Drosophila melanogaster: one gene and its partners. The protein of the gene in region 2 interacts with the protein of the main gene of each other region in a pairwise test. Each region holds a gene or a part of one and is shown on either strand. Other genes may lie near its edges. The genes, in order: Eip78C, CG10209, CG15458 and CG10918.

What was found.
Region 1: the proteins of CG10209 (region 2) and Eip78C interact in a two-hybrid assay, tested with the Drosophila melanogaster proteins (one study listed by BioGRID).
Region 3: the proteins of CG10209 (region 2) and CG15458 interact in a two-hybrid assay, tested with the Drosophila melanogaster proteins (2 studies listed by BioGRID).
Region 4: the proteins of CG10209 (region 2) and CG10918 interact in a two-hybrid assay, tested with the Drosophila melanogaster proteins (2 studies listed by BioGRID).

Annotation. Positions count from the first base shown.
Region 1 is NT_037436.4:21,224,590-21,230,200, forward strand, and holds the start of Eip78C (Ecdysone-induced protein 78C), read left to right. Parts: upstream 1-2,329; 5' UTR 2,330-2,883; coding exon 2,884-3,802; intron 3,803-5,611. UniProt on the Drosophila melanogaster protein: Induces the early late puff 78C which triggers puparium formation and development.
Region 2 is NT_033778.4:14,844,837-14,850,636, forward strand, and holds CG10209 (uncharacterized protein), read right to left. Parts: upstream 3,531-5,800; 5' UTR 3,367-3,530; coding exon 3,364-3,366; intron 3,136-3,363; coding exon 2,980-3,135; intron 2,929-2,979; coding exon 1,582-2,928; coding exon of another isoform or gene 1,495-1,581; 3' UTR 1,228-1,494; downstream 1-1,227. Other genes in the region: NaPi-T (Na[+]-dependent inorganic phosphate cotransporter), read right to left, coding at 1-129, 246-460, 592-601; SMC2 (structural maintenance of chromosomes 2), read right to left, coding at 3,836-5,273, 5,327-5,520, 5,577-5,800.
Region 3 is NC_004354.4:20,412,390-20,416,421, forward strand, and holds CG15458 (uncharacterized protein), read right to left. Parts: upstream 1,811-4,032; 5' UTR 1,699-1,810; coding exon 1,636-1,698; intron 1,574-1,635; coding exon 1,445-1,573; 3' UTR 1,263-1,444; downstream 1-1,262. Other genes in the region: CG15459 (uncharacterized protein), read right to left, coding at 31-882, 1,052-1,108; Obp19a (Odorant-binding protein 19a), read left to right, coding at 3,380-3,448, 3,509-3,676, 3,752-3,955. UniProt on the Drosophila melanogaster protein: Mitochondrial membrane ATP synthase (F(1)F(0) ATP synthase or Complex V) produces ATP from ADP in the presence of a proton gradient across the membrane which is generated by electron transport complexes of the respiratory chain.
Region 4 is NC_004354.4:21,427,696-21,431,661, reverse strand, and holds CG10918 (uncharacterized protein), read left to right. Parts: upstream 1-2,405; 5' UTR 2,406-2,418; coding exon 2,419-2,970; 3' UTR 2,971-3,048; downstream 3,049-3,966. Other genes in the region: DIP-beta (Dpr-interacting protein beta), read left to right, coding at 1-64.

The DNA of each region.
Region 1 (5,611 bases), on a different chromosome or scaffold from region 2:
GCAGTGGCATAATAATAAGCAAATAATTTAAACCAAACGCATTTTGCGCCACTTTGTTGCTGCTGCTGTTCTCGCTGTTGTTGCTGTTGTCTCAAATGTTGCCCATGACGTTGCCCACAAGTCATTGAACTTAACGCGGCGAACGTAGAGCCAACAATAGCAAAATAAATAAACGCGAAAAACGCGAAGAAGCCAAGGCAACTGTCCCCACCTCCCCCCTTCACCCTCGTGAGATGATAAGTGAAATGCAGTAATAATAAGAATAGTGCTCCCCTTTTCCACCCGCCCATCTTTAAACAACTCTCACTCGCACACACACACACGCACACACTCACTCGATTCGATTACACAATCTTCGCGAGCGGCATTTTCATTTTTCTCTTCCTGGTTCGTCGTCATCGCACGTCTGTCTGTATGGGTGAGCGTCTTTGGAGGAGTGTGCGTGGCATATCGGTGTGTCTGCGGAGATCAGGTTTTATCGCCCGACGCAATCGGACATATAGTGTGCTATAGCATGCCACAGCCTGGGTGGATCGTCGGATCGGTGGGGGCGGCGGAGTTATCGCTTCGATTGGTCGTCGTACCTCGGCTGCTCGCTGGCTTTTCGCTTTCGCGGAGGATCGTGGATATGTGGCTCCACCGATCGCCCAGTTGCCGTTTTCCTGTTATTTACAGTTTCTGGTTGCTTTCGCTGCTGCCCGTTGGAAAAATGGCAAGCTAGCATGCAGTTGACGTCGCCGCCGCCGCTGATCATTGACTTTCGTTCGTTCCCTTTTGCGCCAGGCGTTCGTCACGAAAATTGCGGAAAACGTTAGGGAAAAAGGAAAAAATACTATTCGAAAAAGAGATTTCTGTACCTAGTTAATTAATTCCTTGTACCCTTGCAATTTGCACAATCATATTATTTTTTATCATTGTCCTTGAATGTAAATTCATTTTTCGGGAAAATTTGGCATTGTTTGCTTTTTATTTTCAAGTCAAAACATTAAACCTTTTTGACTCAGAAGCAAATTCCTAAATACTTCATTTGATCTTCAAAAATAATTTTCAGGAAAGTATTTTCATGCCAAAAACTGCAGTTTTCCACTTTCTTCTCGGTGAAAAACAGCCCACAAACGCAAAAGCAACATGCAACATTTAAACTTCCGCATTGCAGAATTTGCTCTCCCACTCTGCCGTTCGGCCTTTCTCTTTCCTGCCTGCTCAGCTGAAGGTTCTTTGACTTGACCCCCCTTGAAGGCGCCCACACTTCTGCCCTCTCTCTTTCTCGCGCACACACACATGCCCATTGCCCTCTCCCTCGAGGATAGTGCAAACTAAGTAACGGTCCGAGTCTCTCTCTATTGCTCTCGCTCGCTGCATTGGTGTGTGTGAAATTGATCTTGAGTGGATGTGTGGTTGCACTTGGAAATGTTGGAAGTCGATGCCGACGTTGGCAGCAACGCCGGCAGCGGCAATAGAAATTGAAAATAGCAACCAGGAAAAGAGTTTGCAAATGAAAAAGTGCAGCAACAAAATACAGCTGCAACAGCGAGAGTGGCAATGCATGTTTCTGTTGTGCTGTTGCTGTTGCAACAGTTGCTGCTGCTGTTGCCGATTCTATTGCTGCAGCAGTTTCTAATGTGGCTGCAGCTTTCCAAGTTGTTGCTGTTGCAGCTTGTGTGGCTGCTGTTATTGCTGCTGCTCTTGCTGTCGCTGGCGCTGGTGGAGATTAGAAAGATAGAGCCTCCAGTACTCGCATCACATTGACTCTCTCCAACCGATCTGCTCCCTTCATCTCCTCCAGCGGCTCCACCTCATGCTCCGGCGGCGGCGGCGCTTCGCAGTTTTCCCACTCCATTGGGCCACACAGACGCAATGCATTCTATTTTCCTGCTCTTTCCACACACAGACCAGCGCACAGTTACTCACACTGGCGCAGAGGGACACGTTCTTGTTCTTCTGCGCCGCTGCTCCGTCGTCGTCTTGGACTTTTGTGTGTTGTCGTAGGTTCTACAGTTTAGCTTGGATTTTCCCTGGCGCATTTGGAGCGCTGCGAAGTTGGCGCTTGGATCTCGACGAAGCGAGAGTTTTGTACGCGCGATCACCATTTCTCCCAAAAAATAATAAAATCGACGCGCGAGTGTGCCGCCACAAAACGAACCTATATCGAAACGAGCGCCCGATTTTGGAACTAGCCTGAACTTGGAAACGAAGGACTTCGAAAACAACACGGAAGTGAATTGAAAAATTATGCAATACAAGCTATTACGAAGGCTAAGTGCAAGTGACAAACTTAAGCGAGGGGATTAGTAATGAGAAATGCGAAATGATCGTGATAATTGAATTCAAGCATTAACGAAAGAACTGCGCACAAAGTAGGGAGGCAATAATTACATATGTACATGGCTGGGAAAGGCCTTAACTAAACTTAGCAAACTAATAAATAGAAAAAAGGAAATATTGGCCAAATATTATAGTATTGGGAATATTAGGTTACTTGATATCAAAAATTAATGTCTATTTTATACACTTATTCTTAGACTTAATGTTAACTTATCGTACTTATTATGATTGGTTTTTCAAGATTACCAGAACTTGATAGATTGGTCTAGCTTTTGAAATCGGATAGCATTTTCTTTAAAGGACTTTGCCATATGCTAAAGCCTAACTTCTTTTTTCAATTCAGCCACAGCTGACAAAAGCGAAGAAAATTTGAAAGACCGTGAATCCTTTTGAAACGCCCTCTCCGGATTCCTCATTAAGTGCAAAAGATATAACATCGCAGAGATTTCCCATAAAAATGCTGATCAGGCGCCCTCGCAGGTTGCCAACGTCGATTTCCGCCAGCAGGACGATGATGAAGATGATGGATGCCCATCTCACCGATTCGATCCGAGCAACATGGATGTATACCAAATAGAGCTGGAGGAACAGGCACAAATCCGCTCCAAACTGCTGGTCGAAACCTGTGTGAAGCACTCGTCTTCGGAGCAGCAGCAGCTCCAAGTTAAGCAGGAGGACCTCATCAAGGATTTCACTCGGGACGAGGAGGAACAGCCAAGCGAAGAGGAGGCGGAGGAAGAGGACAACGAAGAGGACGAGGAAGAAGAAGGCGAAGAAGAAGAGGAGGACGAGGACGAGGAAGCCCTGCTGCCGGTAGTCAATTTTAATGCAAATTCAGACTTTAATTTGCATTTCTTTGACACACCGGAGGACTCGTCCACCCAAGGGGCCTACAGTGAGGCCAATAGCTTGGAATCCGAGCAGGAAGAGGAGAAGCAAACACAGCAGCATCAGCAGCAGAAGCAGCATCACCGGGATTTGGAGGATTGCCTAAGTGCCATTGAAGCTGATCCATTGCAGTTGTTGCATTGCGACGACTTCTATAGAACATCAGCCCTAGCAGAGAGTGTTGCAGCCAGTCTAAGCCCACAGCAGCAGCAGCAACGGCAGCACACCCACCAGCAACAACAGCAACAGCAGCAGCAGCAGCAACACCCTGGACAGCAGCAACATCAGCTCAACTGCACGCTGAGCAATGGTGGAGGTGCTTTGTACACCATCAGCAGTGTGCATCAGTTCGGTCCGGCCAGCAACCACAACACCAGCAGCAGCTCCCCCTCCTCCAGCGCCGCCCACTCTTCGCCGGACAGCGGCTGCTCGTCGGCCTCCTCCTCCGGATCTTCGCGATCCTGCGGATCCTCCTCTGCATCCTCCTCCTCGTCAGCGGTCAGCAGCACCATCAGCAGCGGCCGCAGCAGCAACAACAGCGTCGTCAACCCCGCAGCAACATCTTCATCTGTTGCGCATCTGAACAAAGGTACGTGCAATTTGCAACTGACACTGCGACTCTTCCGCGTTGTCGTCTCCTCTCCTCTGCTGCGGACCATTGTTGTCGGTCTTTGAAATTGTGTTCAATAAATTTGCATTCATTGCATAATAGCTGCAACAGCAATTGAAAGTCGTTGGGTCTTCGGTTTCTTCTCCTTTTGAGGAAACTATTAAAGCGCAGCATGGAAAATGTGAAAATGAATATAATTCGCTGTTATTGGCCAATGGCTGTTGCTGTTTCAGTTTTCTCTTTAGTGCGAGGAAATTGCTTTTCATGTTGCACGTCTGTCAATGTGCTTGCATTTGCCGCTGCATTTGCTTTTCCTTTTGGGTGCAGTGCAATTGAAAGCCATGGAAAAGATGTTTTAATTTTCATAAATCGCCTTGAATTGGTCTCGGCTCTCTTTTGCCTTGGATGATGGTATTTGAAGGGGCTAAGCCCATTCTACTCCTCCGGGAGTAGTTGGTGGCTCGAACGAATGGGTAGTTGGAACCGGAAATGCAACAAAACATAGGCTTAATAACTACTACGGTCAGCTGCTGCTTACACAGAGACTTTCAAAAAAAGAAACCAACATATATATTTTAAACAATTTTTTTTATAAATATCTAAATCCAATACATTTTTATTGCTGAATGATTTACCGCCACTAATAGCCAAGAAAATGATTATTTAACTTTAAATATAAATTTGTTTATTTTCAATAAATTTTATAATATTTTGAACTACAATTCGACATTATAAATACTATTCGGCTTGGCTGAACTTGCAAATTGCCTGGATTTTTTGGCGAAGATTTCATTTCGAGTCCTGGAATGGCAACATTTAATTGCGTCAATTAGTGCGAATGAAAATTAAATCTGTTAGGAAAGGCCTTGAAATCAAGCTGGGAATTAGAGGAAAAGTCAAAATCTCGACTGCTTTTTCCACGGCATTCAAATTGATATTCCTCTGCCGGGGCAAAAATTGACTGCAATCGCTCGTTGTCCACTCCACTCAATTAGTTGTCTTCAACCAGATAAATGCATGAAATGAAAATGGAAATGGGAAAAAGTCGAGGAAATATGAAGTCTTTGTCGTCTATCGTCCATGCCTCTGACTTGTCTGACAACGCGGAAATGCCAAGCAGTTTTCCACCAGCCAGTCAGCCAGCCAGCCAGCCAGCCAGTCAACCCACAACCCGCACCCCTTTTTCTTCGGCTGGATAAACAATGGCGTTTCAAATTGTCAACTTGCAAAAGCCACCAAATGATTTGCATTTGAACGCGGCGCGAAAATGAAAAGCAGCCACTTGAGTTTCCTTTGCGTTTTCTTTTCTTTTTCATTCCTGCCCGGGCCGACGACATTTTCCAGACGCCGTTGTTGTAGTTGTAATTGTTGTTGCACTCCAATTGTAAAAATTCAATTTGCAATTGCACAAGCGCGTAACGCGCCATCCACTGTAAGAAAAAACAAATGATGTAAACATGCATCACCAAAGTTGATCACCAAATAAATATTAACAAATTTAAACGGTTTCGGAAGTGATGTGTATTAGATTAATATTTGTTACAAAATTTGTAAAGGACAGTTTCTTGGACCAAGCACAAGGACATTTTATTACAAGAAATAAATTGAAGTTCTGTCTCCATATTTCCGTTCCTGTCGACAGTTTTTCGGTGCGTGTATCCACATTAATTTCATTTTGTTTCGCATTTCTGAGGTGTGGCAACGCCAATGTGCACAGCGGCAACTAGCAACACCAACACCAACAACATCGCGACAACAACAATAGAAGGCTGTTCAAACTCCGCGCTT
Region 2 (5,800 bases):
TTTAGTACCATATTTGGTGGCCAAGATGCCGCCGGGAATCTGCAGTGTCCAGTGGGCCCAGAAAAATGATCCCAACAGAGCGCCCTGCTGCTTCTCGTTCCAGTGAAATCCATTCTTTTCGTACGGAATCTGCCAAAGATATAGTGCACACACACGTTACTCATACGCCCCGTTGTTGCACAAGCTCCGTCACTTTGTGGCTTTCATTAAGCACTTAACCAGTGATTCAGCGATCTGATACTCACATTCGCCCAGTCCAAAAACCAACGCTCCAGCGAAAATCGTTCATTCATTTCCGCAAGGGCAGCCAAGTCCGTAGAGTTCTCGTGGGTTTCATTTGAGGTAATAGCACCCTTCCCGGCAATCATGTCCACAATGGTAATGTTCAGATTGATCCGGATCATGTAGTTCACGATGAAACCGATGAATGTCATGTACCACAGCACAGTGCGCGCCTCGACTAAAAAGATCAAAGTAGAGTACATGAAATGCGAGCTCCCAACTTGTGGTTGTTCTTCATTTGGAGGTCTTAAACAAGATCTTCGACTTCGAGTTTCGAGGTAAGACACGAATTTCAGATCATTCTCGTACCTTGGCCCATGGTGAATGGATTGACTGGTTGAGAACTTCACTGGAAATTTGAACTCTGCATCTGCAGGAGCTGCCGCCAATCCCTGTGATTCGATCGCTGACGATCAACTGCTGCTGGCAGCTGCCGGAAAAGAATGCCAGACCCAGTCTGCCTCCAGTCGATCCGCCTGTATCTGTATCTGTATCTCTTTATCCCAGCCGGACGCCACTGATAAGCGCCGCAGATCTGGCGGACTATGCTGCAGCTCGGCTCGTGATCGCTCATCAACCTGCCCAACATGCGACAGACAACGACGAGTTCGGCGATCGGCAGCGCTCAGTTGAAATTCGCACTTAGGCAGACCGGATCAGTCAGCTGTTTGACTATCTTTATGATATGGCGTGCTCCCTGTGGGTTTCGTTATCGCGTTACGAGAGATGAAGACTAGATATTCCTGAAGACAGCTTAACGACGGACCGCTTGCCGGATTTACAGCTTTTCAAAGTCCAAACAAACAAGATTGTGGATTCCACCTCAGAGCTAAGCCAATGACTTCTCCGATTTGGCCAGAAAAACAAAAACCTGGGAATAGGGAGCTCTTGCCAGAAGTTGGGGATCAATCATTTTACTTGAACTAAAAAACATCCACAGTTTTTAAGATTCAATTATATTTGTATTTACACCGAAAAAATGTATGCGTCGCGATCTATTGAGAACTTGAGTCACAGTTGAGCTACGCTGTTATTGCCACGGGAACATTTACATGAGGATCACGGCATCCACTTACTACAAAATGGCATACATCAGGAGTATCTTCCTCATTGACTGCACCATTTTTGACTGTAGTAGTGTAGTGAGCAATGTGTACTTAGGTATAGGCTAGCATAAGAATGAGACCTACGAATTGCCGTCTAAATCGAGGGCTAACAGCTGTGCGCGTCTGCCGTCGTGGGGGACACCGTCGCAGGGCGTGGTGCTCCACAAGTGGCTTCCCACAGACGGCTCAGGACTCATCCGACATTTTCGTAGGACATTGGAGGCCGTTCGCTGGCGGTCGATCCGAAGATCGTTGGCGGATGGTGTTGCTGTCCCTGTTGCTGCTGCTGGTGGGGATGCTGTTGCTGTTGCTGGTGGGGATTGTGGCCATGCTGGTGTTGCTGTGCGGTCGGCTGCTCGTTGCGAAGCTGTCCCAGCGGAAACATGATGTTGTGGGCCATCTGGGGGTGGTGCAGGTGCTCATTGGGTGGCGGTGGAGGCGGTTGCTGGTGGGCAGCATGAAGGGCCTGAGCGGCCTCCACATGCTTGCGTTGCTCGCTTTGCTGTTGCTGTTGCTGCTGATGAACCTTCTCCACGCTGTTCTCCTCGTACTTCTTCTGAAGTTGGAAAAGAGGCAGCTGCTGGGAGGTATGAATGGGCACAGCAACTGCGCCTGCAGATGCTACTCGCTCTACCTGTGATTGAGGCGATGGTTCACGCTCGCCCTTTTCGTATTTCTTTTGCAACTGGTACATGCTGTGGGACAAGTGAGTAGTCACCGTGCTACTGCCACTGCTGCTAGAGCTGAGTTTTGAGGAGGTTGACGTAGAGGAGGGCGCGGGCTTCTCCGCTTTGACAGGCGACTTCTTCTGATACTTCTTCAGTATCTGCATTAGTTCGGACTTTACATCAAGGCGTATCTCCTCCGGAACTCTCTTGATCTCTTCGTACAGGGATAAGAGGAACAGCTTGTCGGGATCCCGGTTCTTGCGCTTCTTGCTCTTTTTTGGAAATGCATCCTGCATGAACTGCAGAAGCTTCTCCTCAAATGGCGACTCTCTGGATAGTGATCCACTTCCATGCTGGCGCCTCAACAGGTGTGGATGCAAGCCACCGTGAAAAGCAGGGTGCTGGAGCATTCCGGAGTGGGATTGACCACCGCCGCTATGCTCGCCTCCTCCACCGCTGCCATTGTGCGCCTGCAACTGGGATACTGGGTGTCCCTGATATGAGCCACCATTGCTTGATCCAGGAGCATCATTGGTTTCGCCATCGTTGGTGTGATGATCCTGCTGCTGCTGTTGCCCTGCATGCGATTGCGGATCCTTCTGGTGCTGCATATTGTGCTGGTGATGGCCCACTGCTGCCGTGAGAATAGCATCGCACAGATGCTCCGGGGCGTAGTCCAAGCCGGTCAAGAAGTTCTCCGCCTTGAGCTCACCATTCATCTCCTCGTAGAAGTACTCGGTGCCCACAATGTCGATGATATCGTTGTCCTCCTGGTTTAGTTCGATCCCCGGTGGTGGAGATCCTCCAGAGAGTTGACAGCGCTTCAGTTCCGCCAGCTTTTTCCTTGTGGTCAGTCGCATATCGCGCCAGCACTGGAAGAAGATTAAAGTTTATTTTTGGATTTAATAGGCAAGTAAACGCACCTTTTTCCACTGAATAATCGTCTTCTTGGGACCAATAGTATTAAGGGCCGCTTGGATCTTCTCCCAATACCACTCCTTCTCCTTTTTGCCCTCCATGTACTTGGTTTCCCGCAGCAGTGTGATGAGCATCTTCTTCTGCGGCTTGGTCACTCGATCCTGGAAGAGTAAAACGGTTCATTAGCAATCCCACATTCCAATGAATGAAATTCCACAAATCGGTGCTTTTCCCGCCTCGAACACCACTCCAATTGTTGCTATTGTTTATCCAAATGCCAGCGGTGTCTACAATATTTTGCTGCTCCCCGCACACACACACGCACAAGTCGTGTGTGTGTGTGGTAAAAGAATCGGACGATTCGTAATTTTTGGAACCTTGCAAATTACCATGGTGAGCTTTTGAAGCAGTCTGCGTTGGCTCGAAATCTTGATGTTTTGTTTTTCAACCGCCGTCGAGTTTTTGCTGCTGAATTCCGGGGACTTTTGTTTAATTTTTCACTCCCTCAAACATTGCTGTTGCTGCCTTTCGTTCTTCTTCTTCTGTCCGCTGCGTATGTGTGTGTGTGCGTTTGACGGTCTCACCAGTTTGACGTTTCGCCCGCCCGGTTGGAAATCAGCTGATGCGCAAACGACCGTTACAAAATTAAATTTGTAGTTAAATTACTTATTTCGTTGATTTAAGTAATGTAGCAATAAGTATATTGACCGATGGCTCTTGAAATAAGTATATTGCTGTAATACACAACCTTTTTTGCGAATTAAAAAAACTTGAAAAAATTCACAATTAAAATGATAAGAACAGTTTTATATGGTATTTTTAAAGTTTTATTAAGTGATAAGAAAGTAAACGAGTTCCATTTCAGCGTTTGTTGGTTGTCGCCTGTCTGCTGACCTGCCGGGTGATGGTGGACACACCCTCCTCGAAGAGAGTGCGGAACAGGACGTTGGCGTGGTTGAAGAGACCATCCTTGAGAGACACAATCAAGAACTGCGAGTTGGTGAAGTGCTGCTTCAACATACTACCTATGTTTTGGGTGTGTGACATGTCCAGGGCAGCGTCCACCTCATCCAAAATGTACAAGGGAGCCGGAGAGAACTTAAGCATGGCCAGGACAAGGGACAGAGCCACCAAGGACTTCTGGCCACCAGAAAGTTCACCGAGACTCTCCTTCCATATGCCATTGAAGCCGACTTTAATCTCCAAACCGGTCAGACAGCCATTGGTATGGACGGGATTGAGTTTCGCTTCAGCACCCGGTAAAAGGGAGCTAAAGATCCCACTGAAGTTCGTGTTCACCTCGGTAGCGGCTTTGTTCAGCTGATCCTGCTCTTCTTCGTCCATCTTCACTATGATTTTCTTAATCTTCTCCTTGTCCATCGCCACAATGTTTCGCCGGCGCTCGGTCTCCTTGAAGTTCTCTTCCTCGCGATCCAGCACCATGATAGCGTTCATGTTGAGAGTGCGTTCCATTTTGTCCTTTTTCTCCTGCATCTTTGCCAGCTTGTTGCCTGCTTCGTGGGGGTCCTCCTTGCTGTAATCGTACCGAGTATTCTTCATGCCAAAGCAGTTCTTCTCCTCCGGAATCCACGGATACTTTGCCTCAAGGGCTTCCATCCGTTTCTTTGCCTCTTTGGCATCCGAACTGATCTTTTTTTGTTCGTTCTCTTTTTTCTTCACCTCCAGCTCAATCTCCTGATTTTCCTTCAACATTTTCTCCTTCTTGACCAACTGATTTCGCATCTCCTTGTTCTGATCTCTCAGTTTATCTTTCTGCTCCTTAATCGCCTGTTCGAGCTCCGTCACCTCGGACGCGGCACTGGAGCTATTTACTTTCAGAGCGTCTAGCTCGGCCTTAAACTTTTCGAGGTTATCAATCATTTCCTGGTGCTGCTTCTTTGCAGTTTCGATACTTTTCTGCAGCTCAGTAATTTCCAATTGAAGAGTTTCGAACTCCTGCTCTCGCTTTTTCCAGTTCGCACGAGATTTCTCCGCCCTTTGCTTGGTCACCTTGATCTCGTTGGTGGCTGCATTCAGCTCTCGCTCGCGATAACCCTTTGCATCTGCCAACTTCGCCTCGATATCCACTATTTTGGCTTGCGAGGTCTTCTGCTTTTCACGGGAGTCAATTATTTGCTGCTCTAGGGTCTTGACCCTTTCCCTCATTTCTTCAATTTCAGCCTGATTCTGTTGAAAGGTTGTTTGGGCCAACCTGTTCTCGCACATGGTTAGCTCGTGCTGTCGCAAGTCAAGATTTTCCTTCATTTTGTTGAACGCGAGGGCCTGGTTTTCAATGGATCTAAAAACAGATAGGCGTAAGTATTGGCAATGAGAAGTTACTGGTTCACCTACGCAATTTGCTTTTCCACTTGGGCTATCTCAGAGTCGATCTCCCTGTACTCCTTTTCTATTTGCTTAATTGCGTGCAATTCTTCTAGAACGTTAGCACCTTTAGGAGCAGCACCTCCAGACACTGTGCCATGGGGATCGACGACATCTCCTTCCAAAGTCACAGAACGACAATTAATACGGGGGTCGTAGCTGATCTAGATAAAAAAAATGCATTTAAAAGATGTACAGAAAAAGAAATATATATACTCACTTGTTTGGCTACAATGAGGTCCTTGCAGATAAGTGTTCCGCCAAAGCAAAACTTCATGACAGGCTCGTAATAGCGGTCATAGTCAATCAGTGACATGGCCCATTGGACATTCTCGGCGCCCACTTTGTTTTGAGCGTATTCTACCACATTTCTGTTTAGCGAACCAGATTGAATCTTGTTGATGGGAATCAAAGTGACACGACGCTGAAGATTGCCCCTCTGCA
Region 3 (4,032 bases), on a different chromosome or scaffold from region 2:
CTCTTGAAGCCTACGCCCAGACCTAGCCAACTACTTTTCATCGCTGGTAAAGGACAGGCCGGAAGTGAAGCCATCGCTGAACGCGCTGTACTCCGCCTGCTCCTCCGCCTGCGGCTGGTCGTCGGCCTGTTCCCGGCCCAGTTCCTCCGGCTGTCCCGAGGCGTTCTCTTGGCTGCCTGTGGGCACGCAAGAGCGCGGTGCCGTGCGGCGCTTTAACGGCGTCTCATCGTCCTGGCCGTCGTCACGTTCATCCTCGTCCAGCTCATCCCGCGAGACTTCCACTGCGGCTGCCTGAGCTGGGGAATCGGAAGCGGTGCCGCTGGTGTTGACCGCCGCATTGCCCAAAACGGCTCCCACGACTCCTCGCAGCACCCTGTAGAAGGCGTCGTGCACCTGACCCATCACTTGGCTAGCCGGACGCACTTGCTCCGCCTCGGGCTGTTTATACTGTTGGTACTGGTTTGGCGGCTGAATCTGCTGGCCTCGCGCCCAGCTGCTGTGGCTGCTATGCTTCACGGCTCCCTCCGCCCGACGCTGCGGCTCCTCGCAGGGACACTTGCGCCGCGGAGCAGAGCCTGATCCTCCCGATGTGGGCGGAGGTGGTGGCGGCGGCGGATCGTCGCGACAACCATTGTCATCCTCGCCCGCCGCCCGGCGCTGCTGCTCGCGATCGAACTCGGTCATGGCCCGCTCCGATCGCTCCCGGCAAACGGAGCAGTCGGGATCCGCGCCGTAGACGCCAATGTCGCCATTGAGGGACGACTCGTGGTCCGATTCGCAGCTGCACTTGCCGCTGGCCAACTCGCCGGTCTTGCCGGATCCGCGGCGCAGCTTGTACACGATGAACAACAGGGCCAACGTGGCGTATGTGGCCTTTGCCACCTGCGAAATGGGTCATAGTATATGTATTTGTAAAAAATGTATGTAAAAAAATGTTAAATTAATAATTTTGAATTTCAATTTGGAGCTGAAAATAATATTTTGTGTCCATCAACAGCTCCAAAGCGATGGTTCATTTTATCTTGTGTGCGTTCAATAGAATCACTCTTACGTTAGCGCGTCCATTGATGGTTGTCCCATTGAAGTACTTCTTAAAGCCGTCGGCCATTGCTACTGGACTGGATCTGGAGATCTGGAGATCTGGATTTGGGGTCGGGTCCGGGTGAGAGCTGAGTGTGTTCTGCCTATAGCTCCGAGCGAGAACCTAATGACAAGCAGCGAAGTGCAAAGCTCGGCCAACTAGATTACAAAGTCGATTCATTGGCAGGATTCGATTTTTATTGACTCAACGAGGTGGTACATGAGTTTGGTCCCCAAGCCTTTAACTGTGGCATCGAGGACCGGAAAGGGGGTGCTGATTATAAATAGTTATGGATTGCTGACGGGTCGAATGGGTCGGAGCGGTGGGGAGCCATGACTTCAATGATTTGGCAGCATCGGCGCCCTAGCCATGGAGCATGGCCTGCTGGCAGCCCTTGCAGTAGAGCTTGGTCTCGCGCCGCTTCGTGTTGCGGCGGTGCATCTTGACCAGGACGTAGACGAGTCCCAACGAGGCCCAGGTGGCCTTGGCTACCTGTGGGTTTCGGTGGCGTATTTGGGCGCATCTTGTGTACTGCCGTGTACTGAATCACTTACATTGGCGCGACCACGCATGGTCTGGCTGTTGAAGGCTTCGTTGAAGTTGAAATGATCGGACATCTTTGGATCGTTGTTGACCGGATTGGCGTGGCTTTTAACAAAAGATTAAAATTTGGATTCGATATTCGACCTGTATTTTAGACCGGGATTCGGATTGTGACTTTTAAACGTTCGAAATGAAAGGAATGTTACTGACAGTCGTCAAAGCCGACTCGGGTTTCCCAACTAGAGAGAATGCTGAAGTCTAGTACCGACTAATGGGATACCCATTAATTACTGCTTAAATACTGTGATGAAAATTGAGATATGCAAGAGGCAAATCGAAAGTTTTGGACATTTTCATATTGTACCTTTAACCAACTTCAGAATTCATTGAGCTAAATACCATTTACAATTTTATGAAATTTTTAAGCATGTTACAGCTATAACTATTTTTAAACCAGTTACTAGATTCGTTGAAAATTGTATGTCACACAGAACTTCTTGCCATCCTGGTCGGAATTAGGATCACTAGCCAAGCCGATATGGCTATGTCTGTCCGTATGAAAGTCTTGGAATCTGATATTAACATCGCATATCGATCGACCATTATATATCTAATATATCCTCTACAAATGTATTTTATCACCTAGCTAGCATGTAAACATTCTGGCCTATTTAGCTGTACGCTTCAGTTATGCTAATGCAAACATAAGCCTTTTGTGATATTATAATTTACATTTATTATTTATTGCAGTTAGCTTTATCAGCGATTTGGGCTCATGCCACACGCAATACTACTTATTTCAACGTCATCAGTTGTACTAAATGCACAAATGAAATACATTTCGCCAAATAAATGCCAACTTGCAACTAATTTGAATGCTAATCAAACCGAACTACTCATTTGCATACAAGGTAATAGGTGGTTAAAGTGAGTGTAATGGACTTACTTAAGGGGTTACAAGGCTTATATTTAAAATGCCTGCCTTGTAATTAAATTTTTAAATATATTGGAAAAAAATGGCCACTTGTTATGTGAGTCTCCAGAAAAAAAACAAAAAAACAGCAACCATCTGGTATGCAAAATATCTGGTGGTAGCAAAATATCTGGTGGTATCTGGTGGACTATCAAAATATAAAAACTTTTTTTTCCAGATAGTATATCTTAAAATCAGCATCTTGAAGGAGTATATGTAAATAGCAAACTATTTGTAAAAATAGATTTTATTTTATAATTTTTTAAGATATATACCAAACATTATTACCGATTGTGATTATCTTTACATTGTTTGACCTCAAAACGGAAAACTGGATGCGCGGTATCCATGCGACCCTAACTCTGGAACCGATTTTGGAACCGCCCCGTTAGATCTCAGATTGAAACCTTATTTGCATTCGCATGATCGCTGATGAACACTGGGGAAATGCGGCCCAGCAATGGGATTGTCAACGCATCTCGGCCAGAATCGCGCCTCGCATGCCACCTCGCACGGTGACCACATACCTGTGTACACTGTCAATTAACGTGGCAAGATTATAGCCCGGCCAGAAAGTAATCCGCCCCAGGAACACCACCCACCGCCCGCCCATTTGGATATGGAAATGGGCAGTGGGGGCGGCGATTGGCGCTAACCCATAATTCCCACACCCACTTAGCGGTTCGATCGAACCAATATGAAGTCATTTGCATGTCGGGGGCCGTGTATAAAAGGAGTCGCCGATGGGTCTGGAGTCTGGAATCCGCCAAATCGTCTCGGAAATGAAGTTCCATCTGCTGCTGGTCTGCGTCGCCATATCCCTGGGACCAATCCCCCAGTCGGAGGCAGGGGTAGGTCCTTAAGCTCTTCTCTCTGCCGGAGGATGCCTCATGGATACTGTCCACTTGCAGGTGACGGAGGAGCAGATGTGGTCTGCCGGAAAGCTGATGCGCGACGTCTGCCTGCCCAAGTATCCGAAGGTCAGCGTCGAGGTGGCCGACAACATTCGCAACGGTGACATACCCAATAGCAAGGACACCAACTGCTACATCAATTGCATCCTGGAAATGATGCAGGCAGTACGTATTAAGAAGTTTCCATCGGCTGTGTTGGTTACATTATCAGCTCCTTCTTTCCGCTCTGCTCCTGCTTAGATCAAGAAGGGAAAGTTCCAGCTGGAGTCGACCCTCAAGCAGATGGACATCATGCTGCCGGACAGCTACAAGGACGAGTACCGCAAGGGCATCAATCTGTGCAAGGACTCCACCGTCGGCCTGAAGAACGCCCCCAACTGCGATCCCGCCCACGCCCTGCTCAGCTGCCTGAAGAACAACATCAAGGTATTCGTGTTTCCCTAGGCTTTCCATCCGAGGCTGCCAATGCGATACCAGATGCGTCACACTTTGGCATTCGGAACAGGTGACTCCGCAGCAAA
Region 4 (3,966 bases), on a different chromosome or scaffold from region 2:
ATGTGCATTGCCTCCAACGGAGTGCCACCGACGGTGAGCAAGCGGATGAAGCTACAGGTGCACTGTGAGTACCACTACAGTATATAACTATCCATATATGATACATGATAAATGGGTAGCGCCACCTGCAGCCGTTGGCCAAGAAAATGGACTGATTTATGGCAGTCGAAGGCAGCTAATGCCGCATAATAATCATAATGGTAACATATAGCCCCGTTCGGATGTGCTGTGCTGTGCTTGTTCCAGAAGGGGGCTGTTCCGTATCGGAGTCGTATGTATGTGGCAGAACTATAACCGGAAGCGGAAGAGGAACAGGAACAGGAACAGAACCGCAGCAATAACGCAGCGGCGGCAACTGCAAGTGTTTCCGTTTCGATATCCGGCAGCTTCCTTCACGTGGCCGACAAACTTTCCAAATGCATTAGGGCGCCAAACTTGTGGATGTTGGGTCAAAGGGCATTTTTCCCTACGAATATGGGGAAAGGGGAACGGGAAATATGGAAAACGGGTGGGGGGGTGGCGGGTGTGAAGTGTTTCTTGGGGTAACGCAACGTCACGTTTCTGCAGTAAAACTTTAAAGTTGTGTGAGTTGGCGAGTTTGTGTGTCATGTGAAGTGGTAATTGTTAAGGTTCTGCAGTTCTGCACTATCCCTCTGTCTGCCCACATAAAAAAACCCCCTTTAAGACCTCTTAAAAAACCCCCCCTGTAACTGTTTTACCTTCCCGCATCAAAGTTAATGAAATTTCCAAAAGGGGCAAAAGTTCAAACGACGACAATTGGGCAAGCGCAAAAGCAAGAGGAATTGGGAGAACGCAGAAAAAAAGGCGGAAAAAGGGGAAAAGTACGGGAAAATGAAGGAAAGCCGTAGGGGAAAGCAGAAGAGGGACAGCGAAGAATACCTAGAACCACCAGCTTCTCTGAAAACCCAAAAGATTGTATCCGAAAATTATATTGACACGGTCGTGAATATGTGGCGTCAGTTTCTTCAGCCACACACACACATATGTACTTACTTTTGACGCAAAAATTAATTTTCATTTATATTTTTTTTTTTTTTATCTAAGCCGCAAATTTCTTTTTCTTTTTCTTTGTCATTTCATTTTCATTTTACTCCAAACGAAGTCACCCACCTTCCGGTCCTCGAAATTTCAATTTAAAAATCCCCATATGTGCGGAAAGCGGGAAACGCCATTCTATATTCGCGATTCTTAAACGCCACCCACTCCCGCCGCCCAACTAGGTGTCCTTGTCTCAGCCGCACATTTCACTCGACGCCCTGATTGATTCTAATCAGAAAATTAAGTGGCTCCTCGAGGTCGTTTGCCATGTATTAGCACTAATGTTAAAGATTTCTCTTCCTCGACATCCGCAACTCTCGAATTGGGAAAGTCAGAAAAGCTGTTCAGAGCTTTACTTTTCAGGAACTTAATCCACATTCACTCTAAGATGTTCGATCTTCTATACATATTTTTTTATTAATATAAGAAATATATGTTTATTACTTGGCAGTTGATATAGATAGATTTTAGACATAAATAAATGGCGCAAATGAAGGCTAAGCATGTGTATTTACAAATCAATTGACTTATTTCTGCGAATAAGTGTTACCAATTGAAAGGCCTTAAAAACTAATGAATTTACATAGTTCCTAACTTTTAATAAAGCATGAGAAAATTCAACTTTCGATGCTGGAGTATAAAACAATGCTATAGTCGAGTAAACCGACTAACAGATACCCGTTGCATACGCTTCTACGACTCTAGTATACCCCTTTACTCAGCAAGTAACAGGTATAAATATGTAAATGAAAAAATGAACAAAAAATATAATTTTTCCGACTGAGTCATAGATTTTAAGAGAACTTTTAAACGAGTGCTATTAGAATAAGTAACCCAGTTGTTGACAACAAATAAACAAAGTAAATAAACAAAAATTTGCAGTAGGGTTATAAACCTTCAAATAGACATTCATTTTCTTCTAAGCAAATTTACAATTCGTCTTAGTATTTGGCTAACGTTATGATTGTTTTTTGTTTCATTGTGAGGATACTGCGTAAATTTCTGTAAACTTCCCTCTCTGACACAGCACTTTTTTTTAAACTCAAACGGTTGTATTAAAATAGAAGAATAGAACAATGGAACTAATTCAAACATCGACCAGCTGTTGCCACACGACGAATGAAACAAGAGAAACACACGGATTATTAGATGCGAAGAATTCGAGCTCAGCTCTTCAGGGAGTTCTTCGCTCTATTTTCCATTCTTCGGAGTATCCAGCTAAGCACACAGCCAATGCTGCCGTCACGGGGGATTCTTAGCAAAAAGGCTGATGGATGAATTCGACACCGAATTTTTGGGTATAAAAGGGGCTACACGTACATAACTCAAATCAGTTGCTATTGGAGCAAAAGTCCCACAATGCGTGCCTACATTGCAATTACCCTGCTGGCCCTGGTGGCAGTTGTCGTGGCCCAAGGGGGAGGCGGAAGACGTGGTGGACGCGGTGGCGGCGGAGGCGGTGGCCGAAGTCTTGGAGGATTCGGAGGACGTGGAGGCGGTGGCTTCGGCGGTCGCGGTGGTCCTGGTGGTACTGGTGGCCCCGGTGGCTTCGGCGGACCTGGTCGCTTTGGAGGGCCTGGAGGACTTGGCGGTGGTGGAGGATTCGGAGGTCCCGGCCGCTTTGGCGGTCCCGGAAGCTTCAATGGTGGATTCGGCGGTCCTGGCGGTTGGGGCCCACGTCCACGTCCTCGTCGCCCAAGACCTTGGTGGACGACAACGGAGAGTTCCTTGGCCGACACCAGCAGCACAACTAGCAGCTCCTCCAGCTCCACCGACAGCAGCTCCTCTGCCAGCTCCACTGATAGCTCCACCGATAGCTCCACCGATAGCTCCACCGATAGCTCTACCGATAGCTCCACCGATAGCTCCACTGATAGCAGCTCCACGGAGAGCACTACTGGTTCGGGATAGATTCTGAGTCTCAATTGCAGCGTATTGAAAACTTTCTGGGAAATGTATGAAAATAAAATCTAATTGGCACATTGAAACTTAATTTCATTAACTTGGAATATATTAGTCATATACAGTCATATTAGTCTTACAGACTAGCCGAATCTATTCAGCAATGTCCGTTCGTATTAAGACCTTTGATTCGCACCAAAAAATATCTCGATTAGCATATGAGATTGAAAGCTGTCTCTTAAGAGAATTATCGTTTCTGTTATTTCTTCGATATCGACAGGCAAATCAATCATCTGATTAATGAAATATCATCATTTGTTATCATAAAGTAAACAGCATGAAGGCTAGTTATTTTGATAATTTAATTTTGGCAGCTGCCTGCCGAATAGCTCTATTAGGGCAAATTGAATTTTCAATAAGTGGTAGGCTAAGCGAGAATTGGACATAATAGGAAACACCCGACACCGCTGAGAACACCACATGACATATGCTGCACCATTTCGAGTCCAAAGGGGTGGTGCAACGAACGGGGGCACGGGCACAAACGTGCGGGGAACCTAGTAGGAGTAGGGACCGAAAATCCGGACGCCATATAGAAGAGGGCTGAGAGTGCGGAATGTCCAAATCCAATAAATTGACCAATAATGAACGCTCGAATGCAGCTCGAGGCGAGAGCGCTGTGCAGTGGGTGAACGTGGGAGCAAAGTTGAAAAGCCAAAAAACAATGATGGTCAGTGGCTCTGGCCTGCGGTACTTTGGTCCTTCGCTTTTCCGTCTGCGCTCCCTGGGGCGGCTTCAAGACAACGTCAAAGGCAAGGGCGAGGGGCCAGAAGCTCGAAAAAAAAGACACGAAAAGAACGCAAAAAATCAACTTGCAAAAAATTCCGAAAAGAACAAAAAAAAAAAAAAAAACAAACTCAACACGACACGGACAACATGGAAAAGCTCCAAAGGGCAAGCCCAATGAATTAATGGCACGTCCTTGGCGAACTAAAAATGCTCTAT